2 linked regions of the Alligator mississippiensis genome follow. The protein of the gene in region 2 interacts with the protein of the main gene of each other region in a biochemical or structural test. Links are inferred from orthologs where the notes say so. Each region holds a gene or a part of one and is shown on either strand. Other genes may lie near its edges.

Evidence for each region.
Region 1: the proteins of MCMBP (region 2) and MCM5 form a complex in vitro, tested with the Homo sapiens proteins (2 studies listed by BioGRID). The link is inferred for Alligator mississippiensis from reciprocal best matches to the Homo sapiens genes MCMBP and MCM5.

The regions. Positions count from the first base shown.
Region 1 is NC_081827.1:101,598,359-101,605,340, forward strand, and holds the start of MCM5 (DNA replication licensing factor MCM5), read right to left. Parts: upstream 3,018-6,982; 5' UTR 2,935-3,017; exon of another isoform or gene 2,911-2,934; intron 2,858-2,910; exon of another isoform or gene 2,749-2,857; 5' UTR 2,735-2,748; coding exon 2,568-2,734; intron 750-2,567; coding exon 623-749; intron 491-622; coding exon 362-490; intron 1-361. UniProt on the Homo sapiens protein: Acts as a component of the MCM2-7 complex (MCM complex) which is the replicative helicase essential for 'once per cell cycle' DNA replication initiation and elongation in eukaryotic cells.
Region 2 is NC_081829.1:87,094,719-87,102,259, reverse strand, and holds the start of MCMBP (mini-chromosome maintenance complex-binding protein), read right to left. Parts: upstream 3,059-7,541; 5' UTR 2,972-3,058; coding exon 2,914-2,971; intron 1,440-2,913; coding exon 1,354-1,439; intron 1,265-1,353; exon of another isoform or gene 1,158-1,264; intron 1-1,157. Other genes in the region: SEC23IP (SEC23-interacting protein), read left to right, coding at 3,190-3,346. UniProt on the Homo sapiens protein: Associated component of the MCM complex that acts as a regulator of DNA replication.

The sequences.
Region 1 (6,982 bases), on a different chromosome or scaffold from region 2:
AAACTCATTAAAGTTAGAGGAATAAACTATACCACTATAAGCAACTTTCTGGTGGGTTAACTCTGTTCACATGAAGGGGTTGTACTATTTTAGCTAGATAGGTTTCACAGCAATATAGTTAAAGCAGCACAAAAACCACACTCAGGGGTAACCCTAACACTAACAAGTCCCATCAGTCATAGTAAGTCACAACTTGCAGTCACATCTGGTGCAGTTCTGTCTAGATGGACAGAGATGAACTTAACCTTGATTAAGTTCAGCAAGAACTAACAGCTCTCTCAACACACACACAAACACACTTTGGATGAGTTCTGTTCTTAGTCTTCTTCCCACCTCATCATAGTGGGTGGATTTAACTCACCTTCAGGCTACGGATATTGGCAGCATGGGCATCTGACTTCAGCATGACCTGGATGTCTTGGAGGGTCTCCTCTCCTGATGGACGAGGACGGGTGACCTCATCAGCCACTTCTTTTGCTGCTTCTTCCAGCTGTTTAGGAAATAATACAGCTTATACTGACACACCACTCTGGTTAGCTAAATGGCTCGTGGCACACCAGCTCTTAGCTCTAAATAAAATAGTCCTTGGTGTGTTCCCTTCTACGGTATTCCCCATCCTTACCAGCTGTAGATGCTCTGCAGGTTGCTTATACAGGTAGTCTGCCAGGTCCTCATCAAAGCTGGCCAGGTCCTCCATCTCCACCTCAATCCAGTACTGACCCAGGTTGTAATGCCGTTTGAGCTCATCCCTGCAAGATGAGGTAGGAGTAAGGATTTGTAGGCAAAAAAGCACCAAGCAAATTTTCTTAAAGGCCTGCAACTTGGCAAGCCCAGAGGTAGGGAACTGTAACAGAAGAGAAACTATCACACAAAACATTCAAAGTGGCCCTCCAGCTATGTAGAAAGCAGATGCGAAACGCTCTAAAGCAAGGGTGTCAAACATACAGCCTATGGATTGAATCCAGCTCATGGTGCCCTGCCATCTAGCCCCTGGGTCCAATTAAACCAGGGGTGGGCAAAACACGGCCTGCCAGGTCATTCTATCCAGTCTGCGGGGCCCCTAAAAAATTTTGAAAATTAATATTTATCTGCCCCTGACTGCATGTCATGCGGCCCTTGATGGCTTGCCAAAACTCAGTAAGTGGCCCTCTGACCAAAATAATTGCCTGCCCCTGAATTAGACTCGCATGGGGCACTGTGTATGCCTGTGGTATGGGGCTGGTCTTCAGGCCAAGTCCTGCCCATGGACTCCCATCCCCTCCCTCCCTTAGCATACCTGATTCAGTGGCTGCTCCAGCCAATCTGGGACCTGCACTGCACACGGGACAAATCCCAGAGTGGCTGGAATGGATACTGCATGCAACGCACACAGCCTAGGTCCCAGACTGTGTGGAACAGCTGCTGGATCAGTATGCTGGGGAAAGGGAAAGGAAGAGGGACCCATGGGCCCTATCTGGCCTGTGGGTGGGTCTGTGCCACTTATGTGGCCTGCAGGGCTGGATAAGTTTGGCACCCCTGCTCTACAGGTAGTCTTTTATGGCAGGAAAAGTAACAAGCCCTCTATGGTGGAAGCAAAAGGAACGGAAACTGCTGGACAGAGGTAACATCCATGCTAATACTTTTTCAATATGGATCCTTATGCACAAATGGCATTGGACAAGGGGCAGCTGTGGCCACAGTGGTTATCAGAGTTTAACATTAATGTGCACCAGCATCACACCAACCACAGCCCAACAGTTTAAGTACAAACTACAGTATAACCTCATAAACCTGGATATCAAAAATCCAGAACTTGAAATCCGGCACTTTTTAAAACTCCACTCCATCGGAGAGTAGCAGCTGCCGGTCCCAGAGCAGCAGAGGGGGAAGCTTGCACGTGGTGGCTGCCACTACCATCCACAATCCTCTGTCACTCCTTCGCATGTGGCCACTGCTCTGGGACTACCTGTTCACAGATCCCAAAAGGCATGGGCTGGAAACCCACGACTGATTTATACTAGAGACAGAACTGAACAGAACCCCAGGGATGACAGGTCTGAAACTTGGCATTCAGATCTAGACCCGATTTTGCAGGGCGGGCCCTTGGGAAACAGCATAACCCAGGGGATGGGGTACCAGACAGGTTAATTTGCTATGTCAAGGGAAATGTGGCCCTAGGCCCACAAGGCAATTATAAGCCTCCCTTAATCAGGGAGGCCACTAGAGGCAATTGATCGCATGGGACAACTAGAGGGACAGAAGCATGGGTCCCAGGTTTGTAAGGATCGTCCAAAAGTGGGGGGAAAGCGGATCCAGATGGGAAGAACCGGGCTCTATCCCTGGCTCCGCCACTAGCTTGACACCTGGTTCCTGGCAAAGTGGTGGGCCCCTCCAGGCTTCAGCTTCCACCTGGGTCCCGACAAGGATAAAGGTATTCGTTCTCCTGCAAAGAGCTCTTTAGAAGTGGTGGAAGAGAGGGCTCCAGAAGAGCTAGCCGTGGCCCGCGGGAGCACGCAGCAGGAGGAAAGCGAACAGCGGCAGAGCGGGAATGGGCTGGAGGGGCCCTCAGAGGTGGGGGCCGCCCACACCTGTACTTGAAGGTGAAGCCAGTGCGGTCTGTGCCCACGCGGTACTGCCGCAGGAACTCCTTGAAGCGCTTCTGAAGCTGGGACTTGCGGACCTGCCCCTCGTCCGCTGCCGGGTCACCCCCAAAGCTGTCGCTGTAGTAGATGCCGGGGTCGTCGAAGCCGGACATGGTGGAGGTTGCTCCTGAGTGCCGGGCAGAGAGAGGGGACCATTAGCTCGGCATCCTGCGGTGCCTGCCACCCGCTCGCGCCAAGCCCCGCACGCAGCCTTGCTGTCCCGCGTTAAGGAGGACTGGGCCCCTATCCCGGACCAGCCCCTCCCTCCGGGAGCGGCGCCCACCCGCACCTCCGCTCGCCCCCAGGAACCGACCCGCTGCGAGCACCGATTTTACGCGGCAAAACCGAAGAGACGTCACAATGGGACGGTCTACGGCCCAAGCCCCTATTGGCCAGACACTCGCCCGCCCCCTCTGATTGGCCCAGCCAGGTTCCTCCCATCCCTTTCCGCACAGGAAGCGCGCGGCTGGGTTGCCATGGGGGTGAGAGCGGATTGGTGGAGACGTTGAGACCCCACCCCTCTGCCCTCCCCTAGCTGGGGCCCGGAGCAGTTTGGCGCGAAAGGCGCGAGGGAAAGGGGGAGAGCATGGGCGCAAGATGGCGGCTGGACGAAACCATTCTGAACGGGCATATGGGGGGAGAAGGGAGGCAGTCGCCTGGACGGAACCATTTTGTTCGGGGGGAGGGGGGGAGCCAACCAGCTCTGTGGCAATGCCCAGAGAGGCTGCGTGTGACTGGCGAGGTGGGGCTGCCTTACCTGCCCCCTTGCTGGGGACCCGGCAGTCCATACTGTGCGAGTATGGCCCATTCTTACACGTCCAAGTTAGTTACGCTGACCTGCCTCCTCAGCAGTGAGTGGAGTCACACGAAAAAGAAACCTTGAGCTGGGAGCGTGCAGGACAAGCAGGCTCGGGCTCAGCCCCACCTCCCGTCCACACCTCCGTGGCCCCTTTCACCCCAAAACTATATTATTATTATTATTTTTTATTTATTTGTTTTTGTTGCCAACTTGGGTACATGACCTACAAGACAAAATGAGGAGTTAAATAAACCCTCAGAAGGAGCAGTGGTCTCAAGTTGCAGCAAGGGAGGTTTAGGTTAGAGAGTAGGAAAACCTCTCTCACCAGGCGGGCAGTAAAACACTGGAACAGGTTACCCAGAGCGGTGGTGGACTCTCCATCCTTGGAGGTTGTTAAGACCCAGCTAGACAAAGCCTTGGCCGGGATGATCTAGCTGGTGCTGGTCCTGCTGTGAGCAGGGGGTTGGACTAGATGACATCCTGAGGTCCCTGCCAAACCTCATAGTCTATGACTCAAAGTGTCACAGTCCAACGGGCTAAATGTCTCCCCTGGAAGCCAGCAACTCCTGAGTCCTAAGTGGTTGCAGCATCGTTTTGACTGAGAGGTCGTTCAGCTTCTCTATGGGACTAGCCCAAAATCTGGGAAGTTAGCGCTCAGCCTGACCTTGCCTAATTCATGGGGTTTTGGGTTAGGCCTTCTATTGGTAACACGAGGATTGCCATAGAAAAGATGCCGTCTCCTTTTTGGGGGGAACACACATCTTTCTGCAGCTGCTTCTTTGTTTGCTGTATGTAGTGTCTTTCGAATCCGGGTGCAGGGCACTCATCAACAACGCACAATTTTCTGTGTTTGGCCATGACTGCAGCTTGAGTTTTTATGCTCTCTGCATCTGTGAAGCCTGGCTGCATAGCCACTTGAGCCAATCCAAAGCCTATTTGGCAGAGCCCATATACAGCACAAGGGTTGAAAACAGGTGGATGAGCAAGAGGGTTGATGATAGCTAACTATTTTGTTATCACTGATGAAAACCGTTCTTCCTAGCGTGATTCCGGATATATATGCTGCAAGCACCGAGGGCATCTTGATAACAGGTGAGCTGTAGGTGGATTGAAGAGGTCAGTGTACAATAGCTATTTGGTGCTGGCACAGATCATTTCTACCAGCTCCAGAGTAGATTGCTTATGACAACCGTGGGGTGGCGCTGTGTTGCTAAGCACTGGCAGCTATGATGGACACATGGGCTCTCAGGGATCTGAAACAACACAGTCATGTGCACTTGGATATCAACACTGTAAAAATAAAACAGCACCAACCTGGAATCTTGTGTTCTGTGGCTGAATAGCAGATGGCAAATGTGAACATCTAGAAGGTGTATGTACTAATTGCCCATGTTAAGCCATTTGTCTAAAAGATTATTATTTGTCCTGACATTGTTTTAAATTTTTAAATATTTGTCCTGACATTTTTAAATATTTCTGAAAACTCAGAGGCCAGTCCAGGGTCACACACTCATACACTAGATGTGACTTAAGTTTCAGGTATTATGCATTAAGTAGCGTGCTAGGTTCGTGGGTGGCAGGAGCACCATGCAGACGGAATATACACCTCACTATTTTGGTTGCCCTTAATTGAAGACACCACCCGCTACAATATTTATGATGCAGATTGGCCAGGTCAACACTCAGAGTAGCATCTAGGTCAGCAAATGACTACACTTCAATTCTGAAGCAGATATTGTCATATTATTCATAAATAACCTTTTATAAGTGGATGTACATTGGTATGGAGATTATACAATGAGGATGAAAGCCCAGAGCTGCATGGTTGGCCACTTGTTTTTTTTCATGTATTTGTCTTGTTCCTTGGGTGCCCTCTAAACTGCCTCTCATGAAGGACCAGTTCAGTAATGTCAGCCACTTGCTGCAGAAGAACTCTGGCATCTTGACCAAGACACCAGTGTGTCCAGGAGTGAAGGAATGAGTGGGAGATGGGGTAGAATATGTTGTTTACTTAGGGAGACTTGGGTGGCTAGTTTGTGGAAGCGTTCTGTTTGTCGTGTTGAATTCATATAGAAGTTTATTATTGTACTTAGAGGGAAGTTCTTAGGATTGTTGGACTGAGAGGGATGATGACTGGAACGCAAATGAATTGTGAATGACTAAATACGAGTTTGGTCTAAATTTCCTGCTTTTCAAACTTTAGGGAAATAAGCAATTTTCAGTAACAAGCTTTTTCCAAAACATGTTCAGTTCCAAGTAGGCAGTGCTGGTCTGGATATCAAGGAAGGGCGTGGGGAGGCAGGGTAGGTTCGAACTTTAGTTTGGAGCCAGTCATCAGCAGACAGCTCTCCCCAGTATTGCTCCCCGTAAGACCTCCCTTCTGTGATAGCTGTTGGCATTTGACAAGATCAGGAGCCAGCAATCACCAGACAGGTCAGCTATGAATACTTGTCTATAGGGACTAAGGAGGCAACTGGAAAAGGCAACCTCAGGAGGACTGGAGAGGTGATCAAGTAGGAGGGGCCCTGAAGTAGGAAGAAGACCTTGCCAACACCTCTGCTTTGACATATCTGCAAGAGCATCTTCCACAATCACTTGTTTATAAAATTAAGCCTGACGTGATTATAGCCTGCAGCCAGAGTAGCAACTGGCCGCCTAGTCAGGCATCCAGATTTCAGTCGGGGAAAGGGAATCCTTTTCATACTTGCTACTCTAGCAAAACTGGTTACTGGTGCTGTCCTCAGCTATCCACACTAGGCACCAAATCTTGTCACTGGACAAGATCATGTCATTAATAATCGGTGTTGGCTTCCATGGTAAGTAGGGTGGGTCATGTGGTTGCATGGTGTTTTTGTTCTGTTGTTCATGTTCTTCTGTTGTTCTGCCATGTTGTTCTGTAGTACACAATCAGTTGCTAGTTTGGTGTCAGCATGAATTTAACTTTTTTCTTTAATAATGTATTTCTAATCAAGTGAAGTTCTTAGCAAGGCACTTTTAAGAGCTTAATGGGGCTAGGCTCTCAGTGACTGCATCAGAAGGAGCATTGCCAGTTTGTAGCAGCTTAGGATCTGGCTTGCACAATGTTGAGGGAGTTTGGCTCACCACCTATCTCTCTTTAGTGGAAAAAAGCCACGTACCTAGCTTTAAAGCTTTCCCTTCTTAGATTTCAAATGCTTTACACATGGTTCTTAAATTATCTCCATTTTATATATGGAGAAACCATGGTGTAGGACAGTAGTTCTCAACCTTTTTGAGATGCAACCCCCCCCCGAAAGTGCCAGCTCTTAGCTTTCACCTTTTTTTTACTACAAAAATAATAGAACCTGTTGCAAAGAACTTAGATGACAACAGGTCAGAATGTTTTTTGACACTATGTAAAATCTCTGGGTTTATCTTGTGAATCATGCATAGATGTATGCACATCTAACAATACTAATATTGCAGCTACAACCTTGAGAATCACTGGCATAGAGGGTCTCTAGGGAGACTTGCCTGAAGTCACACAACAGCAAGTTAGTGTCACAGCTGGGAACAGAGCCCAGCTCTGCTAACTCCCATTTCT
Region 2 (7,541 bases):
ACAACTAGGAATACTGTAATAAGCAACATGAAAGAAACACTGCCATCTCACAGCAAAACAAGCAAACATCTTTTCTGGTACTCAAAGCATTCACGCTTTCAAAAGAAACATGTAGGGCATGCTTTGAGGTAACAGAAGCTTATCTGTACAGGAGATGACCATGGGAAAAGATAAGCGCACGGCTTGTCCAGGCAACCAAATCTCCAAATTACTGAAATAACAGTACTGTGCACCTTTCATTCAAGGTCTATTTGATTTTCTGAATCAGTATTAACTGCATTGTCATATTAGGGAAAAATACATTCAATGTGAAATATAGTTACTGGAATTACAATCATATAAAAATGGTAACCACGGACTGAACATCCACACCATAGCATTTGCTTTTTTTTTTTTTTAAAGTAACTGTATCCAACTTAAAGTTTAACTCAGGGGTCCCACACAGCTGTATAAGAGAGGAAAAGAAATATTTTATTCCATCCCAGGTACTAGTAATGCCTAGCAGTTCAGTCAGTTAAAAATGCAATTGGTGATAAAGTTTTAGTTACAAAATGTTTTTTTCCTTGAAACACAAGATTCTTGGTTCTCAATGTGTTTTGAAATTGGAAAAATACTTGTGTTTGTTGTGGTGGTTTTCTTTTTACTGATAAACTGAACATATTTAACTTGAGGGCCAAGAAATCCAGAATTCCATAATACCATTTTTATAGTTATCCTTCAGAGTAGACCAACAATTTTGGAATCAAGCTAACTTTTTCTTGTATATGAAGATCAGATACATGCTAGCTGCCTAATCTTTGAATACAGAATAGGGGCTTAGACTGACATAATATGGTACAGTTTGTAGAAGATTAAAATAAATGATCTCCCTCAACCAAACTAAAATATGAAATTTAACAACTATTTCTCCAATCATTTAAAGCATCAAAAGCTGTAACAGATCATATAACCTGATCAGTTTGAAAGTGCTTAGCCAGAAACTTCTGGTATACACTTATTTATCTCTAATTTTAGACTAGCCAGGGCAGATTTTTATACCTTAATGAATACATTGCAGATGATTGCATTTGTCAGCTACTGCCACCTAGTGGGTCATAGTACAAAGTACACTGAAGTCAACTGCATGAGTTTCAAAAGACTTTGGATCAGGATCTTACACTTTTGATTTTTGGACAGATTTTTCACATTTCAGTGACTTTGCAGGTAAGCCAAAGTAGGGATTTCCAGTGTCTCCAGTGTCTTCTTCAGCCTGGTATCAGCAAGTTCTAAAAGTGAAAAACCTGGCAAACAATAAATCATCATCACTGATGCAAAAGGAAGGAAATTTAAGGAAAGACTCCTAAACAATCTCACCCAGTTAGTAGCATTATTTTCTTTTAGTTTCTCTCTGAAGTATTCAGTTACTTTTTTCTCCCATTCAGGATTTGGACCACTTTGGGCTAGAAAAAAAACCAAAAAAAAGAACTGTATTTAGAAAAGCAACTGGACAGTACTTCGGAGTTTTATGTACCACTCTGAACCGGAGTGAAGTAAACACAGTTTGGCAAGGTAACGACATTTTTATGGGAGACTTGTTCCTGCACACGTGCACATTATGACTATTTTAACACCATGTCTTCCTCCGTCTCTTAACGATAACAGCAAGCACATCACTGCTTAAGTGAGACGAGGCTCAAGAACTCGGGACTACAAATACGCCACAGACCAGCAGGCAAGGAAGGGGCGAATCAGCCACCTTTCTTACTTTCTGTGCACACACGGTCACGTTTTTGGAAAGCTTGTTTCAGCACAAGTGCTTTTCCAGAAAATAAGCCATACATGGATTAATACCAAGTGCAGGATTGGCAAAGCTTTGTCTGTTGGAACCGTAACGAGATCAAAACGCAGAACTGGCAGTGAATGAACTCGGCAAGGGTTTTGCTGCATTTTAAAGGTCCCAAATGCATGAGCAGAGTTGAAGGTTTCATTTTCAAAATCGTTTCTAACATCGTTTGCTTGGCTAGAACAACGTAATAGAAGAGCATTTCTGATTCCAGACAGGAAGATATTTCTGACACCTCTCCCTACTTGCTCGCTGAGCTTACACAAAGCCCAGCTCCTCACGTTGGTTTGGAGCCCGATGCGGACGGGGATCAAACCACGCATACGCGCCTTAAGAAGTCCCTACATCTCTCTCAGACAGCCTCGCTTGCCTTCGCGTCTCCGTGCCATCTACTTCGGAGGTGCAGAAGCCGTGGCTAGCTAGCTGTTCTCACCCCTCTCCTCGGTACACCTCGCAGGGTGTGCGCAGACACACACTTGATGCCCCAAGGTGGGCAGATGCAATAAATGTTACACTTTGAACCCCAAGATCCTAGATGCACGTGCAACTTTAGACCGGAACGTTTTACAAGCACCCTAGAAAAAACACGTATGATTTTGAGCCAGTCGTCCCTGAAGCGGTTCAGTGTTAGGTGTGGACATAAAGCACTCTGTGCCTCGTGTCGGTCAGCCCGCCAGCATCCCAACCCGCACCGCTTGGGATGGAGCGCAGCCAGGACGCCCATCCTGCCCAAAGGTATCCTGCTTGCAGAGATCACAGTCCACAGGTGTTTTGGGGCTCGGGGGGGGGGGGACAGAAACCCTCCACATCAGTGTTGCTTCCCTGCTTGGAAGTGGAAAGGGGGTCTCAGGGTTATTTGAGACCGGTCAAGTCCCTGCCCCGTGTGAAGCGCATCAACCCTTCGGCCCGGCCCACACCGCCCCCCTCACCCGCGCCGAGCACGCGCCGCCCGGGCAGCCTGCGGCGTGAGGCCGACACCGGGAGACATCCCTCACGCCGCCCCGCCCCGCAGCCAGGCCAGGCCAGGCCGGGGAAACTGAGGCACCCCCGCGCTGGCCCCATGGCAGCCGGCACGAGGCCGCCCCGCTCACCGAAGAGGCCCTGCACGAGGCGCAGCGGGCTGTTGAGCCAGTCGGCCACGCACGGCATGTTGCGGGCGGGCGGGAGAGCGGGCGGCAGCACACGGAGCCCCGCGCCGCCGCCAACTTCCTGCCTCCCGCTGCAGCAATGGCGGCGGGGAAGGGCCCCGCCCCGGGCGTGAGGCGCTGAGGCCGGCGCCGCCATCTTGGAGCCGGGCAGCGCTGCGGGCGGAAGGGGCCGTGGGGGCGGTGACGCCCGGGGACGTGGACGTGGACGCGGACGCAGACATGGCGGCCGCCAAACCCCCCGGGCCCGGCGGCACCAACCTGCTCTTCTCCTCCTCCGCCACCGAGTTCAGCTTCGCCGTGCCCTTCCTCCCGGTCAGCCAGGCCCCCGCCGACACCGCCCCCGCCCCCGCCCCGGGGCCCGCCCTGCTCGGCGCGGGTACGTGCGGGAGGGGTCGTGGGGAAGGGGCAGGGGCAGGAGAGTTAGGTAGCTTGATGGGGGAAGGGCAGTGGGGTTAGGGGGCTCGATGGGGGAGGGGCAATGGGGGAGGGGCAGTGGGGTTAGGGGGCTCGATGGGGGAGGGGCAGTGGGGGTGGGGAATCAATGGGGGAGGGGCAGTGGGGTTAGGGGGCTCGATGGGGGAGGGGCAGTGAGGGTTGGGGGATCAATGGGGGAGGGGTAATGGGGGAAGGGAGCTTCCCGGTGGGTAATGCGGGGAGGGGGCTCGGTGGTGTGGGTGGGGGAGAGGCTGATGGGCGCGATGGGGCGGTCGGTGGTGGGGACAGCCTTGGAAGGAAGTTTGGGTCCTGGTAAAGCTGGCTGGTGGAGGAAAGCGAGCAGGTGAGTGAGCACCTGGCCCCCTGTGGGGTTTTGGATGCTCAGTCCCATGTCCCGCACACGGCGCCTTCTGGGGAAGTGGCCGGGGCCTGGCGTAGGTTAGGTGCGGCGACGGCGCGGTGCGTCTGCCCTGGTGCCCGTCGTTGTTTCCTTTGCAGAGGTCCCATTGCCCAGGGTGGGGAGCAGCAGGGGTTTAGTGCCATGGGCACTGCGCAGCGTGCACCATTGGGGTGCACGGCCTAGGGCCTGGGACAAGGCTCGCCCAGCATTACGTGTTTCCCCAGACCCAGCGTGAGCAGTGCTCCTTAGCTGCAGGAGGAGCCTTTCGCAGCTCATTGAAGCCAGGCACCTTGTTTCTCTGATTGGCTTATGCCTCTGATAGCAGGCTTGAAGTTGACAGGCCTGTTTGTTATTAAAGCAGCAGTGGGCTTATGCCTATAAACCGCCCTCAGTTAGGGAGGCAACTAGCTATATAAGAAGAGGTTCTGGGGACAACAGAAGAAAAAACAGGAACTTGAGTTTGCGTCTGTGGTTAATAATGATTGTTGCAAGGAGGGGGACAGCAAGAAGAGCACGCCAGCCAGGGCCCACTGCCCCGCAAACAAGTCCAAGGATCCTGCGGACGCTGCTCAGTGAAACTGCCTGGAGTTGTGGATGGATGAGGGACAGGAAAACAGCGCCGCAGTCTCTGGGGTTCCCCCTGAGCAGAGCCTCCTTCCCTGTCTGATACATGGCTGCTGGCTCTTGACATTGACACAGTCGGGTTGTTCAAGGCTGCTTTAAAAGCTTGGATACTGCTGGGTCCCACTCCCTTTCCCAAATTATGCAGTTACCTACAGCGGGACCAAAAAGTCACTACACAAGTAGCATGCAACTGATAGGCAGACAACTGAAGTTTGTTACAGTGTAAGCAAGAGGCAAAACATTGGGACCTGTGTGGTGCTGTGCAATAAAGTGAATTATGTGCTTACCCTAAGTGCTCAAGTGGTGAACATTGTAGCTTATGTAGTTATGTGACCCTGGATGTTACTTCAGTGCCATGGGCCTTCTTGGCTGATCCTTACTTGTTGGTCCATTGCACCACCTAATCAGAAAAGTCGTGAAAAGACAGTTCTTCTCTTCAGCTTTCCACTTCAAGTTTGCCTAGGTCAATTATTCCATCATCTGCATGCTGTCCTGCCTCAAGTCAATTGCCAAATGTCATACCTACTCGGACTTTTAATTTGACCTTAACTTCGTTCTCTGTGCTAACTTTCTTTTCCATCTCCTATTTTCTGTTCACCAAACCTTAATAGAAAATTCTCTATGAGCTGCAGTTTCTCCTGTGTGTCTTTTAGCTATACATTTGGGATGTTTGAGGAAACAACACTTTTTGTAATATTTTCAGCTACCTGTTTTAATTCTCGTGTAGCTGTTCCCAGCTGGGTACTTTGTGTAGAAGAATAATTAATGGTTCCACTTTAATGTTTCCAGCATGGTATGATGAGCAGTCCTCAGAGGAGTGTCCCATGTCATTCTCTGCCCCTGGAGTCAGAACTTAATCAGTTCATGAATAGGCTATAAACAAGAAAAATAGCATGCTCAGCATGTGCACTTTAATTTCCTTATTAACTTAAGTGCATAAGTGTGATGATGATTTTTTTTTCCTGTAGTCGCGAAGGTGTACTGACAGGTACATGCACAAATAAGCATGCTTAAGTACATCTATTTGAATTTGAAATTCCCAGTTAGTATAACTTCAGGCAGTGCAAAAATCCCTGAAAGTATGGCCAATGAAAACATATCTTTTGCCTCTTTTAATATTCTTTGGGAAATACAAAATGATATTAGTGTAATCCTATAGAGAAATTAAAATACACAGGGGCCAAAAAGTTAAGATTTGGATCCATCAATGCTATGATTCAGCCCATTAAACATTTATTAAGACACTAAAGATAATATTGGATAATCAGGAACTGAATGCATCCTTTTAGTTATTTATTTACTTTTGTATAACAGGTTTGGTTATAATAATTTTAAGTGAGGCTTCCAGTTTTCCCTTTTTGTCAAATAAAAGCATTAGATGAGTAAGAAGATATAAGTACACTGGGTTGGTGAACAGCTGATGTCCTTGACAATGGATTGTCTGAATGAACTGCACATACTTAAAAAAAACCCATGGGCACCTATACACATGCAGCAAGGCTGCTCTGATGCGCTGTAATTATAGTGCATCAGAGCAGAGTCAATTAATTGAGTCTGCTGGAGTGTGGTAATTAATGTGCTCCAGCAGACTCCAGTGTCTTGTGTATTAGCATCCCCGTGCTGAAAAATTGCAGCAAGGGCCCTTTAACTAAAGCTTGTTCAACAAGCTTTAGTTAACGTACCCCACCACCATTTTTCAGTGTGGGGACGCTGATGTGCAAGATGCTCCGAGTGTTTTAATTAGAGTGGCTCTGAGAGCCGCTGTAATTAAAGGGCCCCCCTCTCTCCCCTCCCCACTCCCTGAGCATGTGTATAGACGCCCCATGTTTCTACAGTCCCCATGGCCAGCTCCTTTCTTCTGGGCAATATTTGTTAACTTTGTAGCAGTTACACAAGTTTTTCCCCAAAAGAGCTGGCTATTTTCAAGCCCTAGTAATGCAAATATTTGTTGTAAGTGGATGCTAGGTGAATAAATGATATGCCACACTGTAAATATATCTGGTAATAGGAGTCCATCCCATAGAGCTGATAAAAATTCTTGATCAAAGATGCATTTTGCTTTAGACATTAGTCAGGCATAGATTTCCAGGTACAGTGTATTGAAAACAAAAGGCCTGCTAGCCAGGGTGCATATCACTGCCTGACTCCTGCAGGATGGTTTTAGGGGTATGATGGAATGCTGTACTTGTCAGATTAAGGTTTGGTCCTGCTTGATGCTCTGCCTTTGTGGATCCTTGGACCCCTGCAAAGCTCTGTTGACATCATAGGGATCATCTGCACAGCATGTAGAGCTAGGGGTCATTTTCACATTAAAGGAAGAAGCCTTTCAGTTATTATAAACCATAGTCTTCTGGAATCAAAACCAAAGTGAATTGCCAGATACTATCTGGAAATAAGGTGCCTTCATAAATCTTTTGTCTTTAAAAGCTGGCAGCTTTTGGAGAAGGAAGGATGCTGTCTTTTGCTCAGCTTCAGAAGAGTCTGTATCGGGGCGGGCAATTATTTTGGGCAGAGGGCTGCTTACTTAGTTTTGGCAAGCCATCGAGGGCCACATGACAGGCACCCCAGGACAGATAAATATTTATTTTCTAAATTTTTTAGGGGCCTCACGGGCCGGATGGAGTGGCTTGATGGGCCTCATTTTGCCCACCCCTGGTGTATATCATCCATAGGAGCAGAGTTGAGCACACTAAAATGGTACATTGCTTTGAAATGATTGTTGGGCAGATGGCCTTGGTTAAAGATGTGGTCAGAACTACTGTTAAAAAAGGACTGCAGCATATGAAGAAAAGTCGTTAATACAGTTATATATTACCATTATATGTGAACACAGTTGTTTTTGTGATCAGCCCTTTTTTCTGTTGCTGTCTTACTGTATATCAAATGGCCTTCAAATTTACATTCAAGGTTAGTTTGGCAGGTTTAATATTGGGAAGAACTAGATTTGCAAAATTTCTATCAGAAACTTTTCTTGTGATTTTCAAAGAAAACATTGTTAGCTATGTACTTTCAAACAGCTCTGGAACATAGAATAAAAGTAGTGTTTTTTGCAAATAAAAATTTAGTGGTGTTAGAAATCCTTTCTTGTCTCAGATATCAGTAATTATAATAA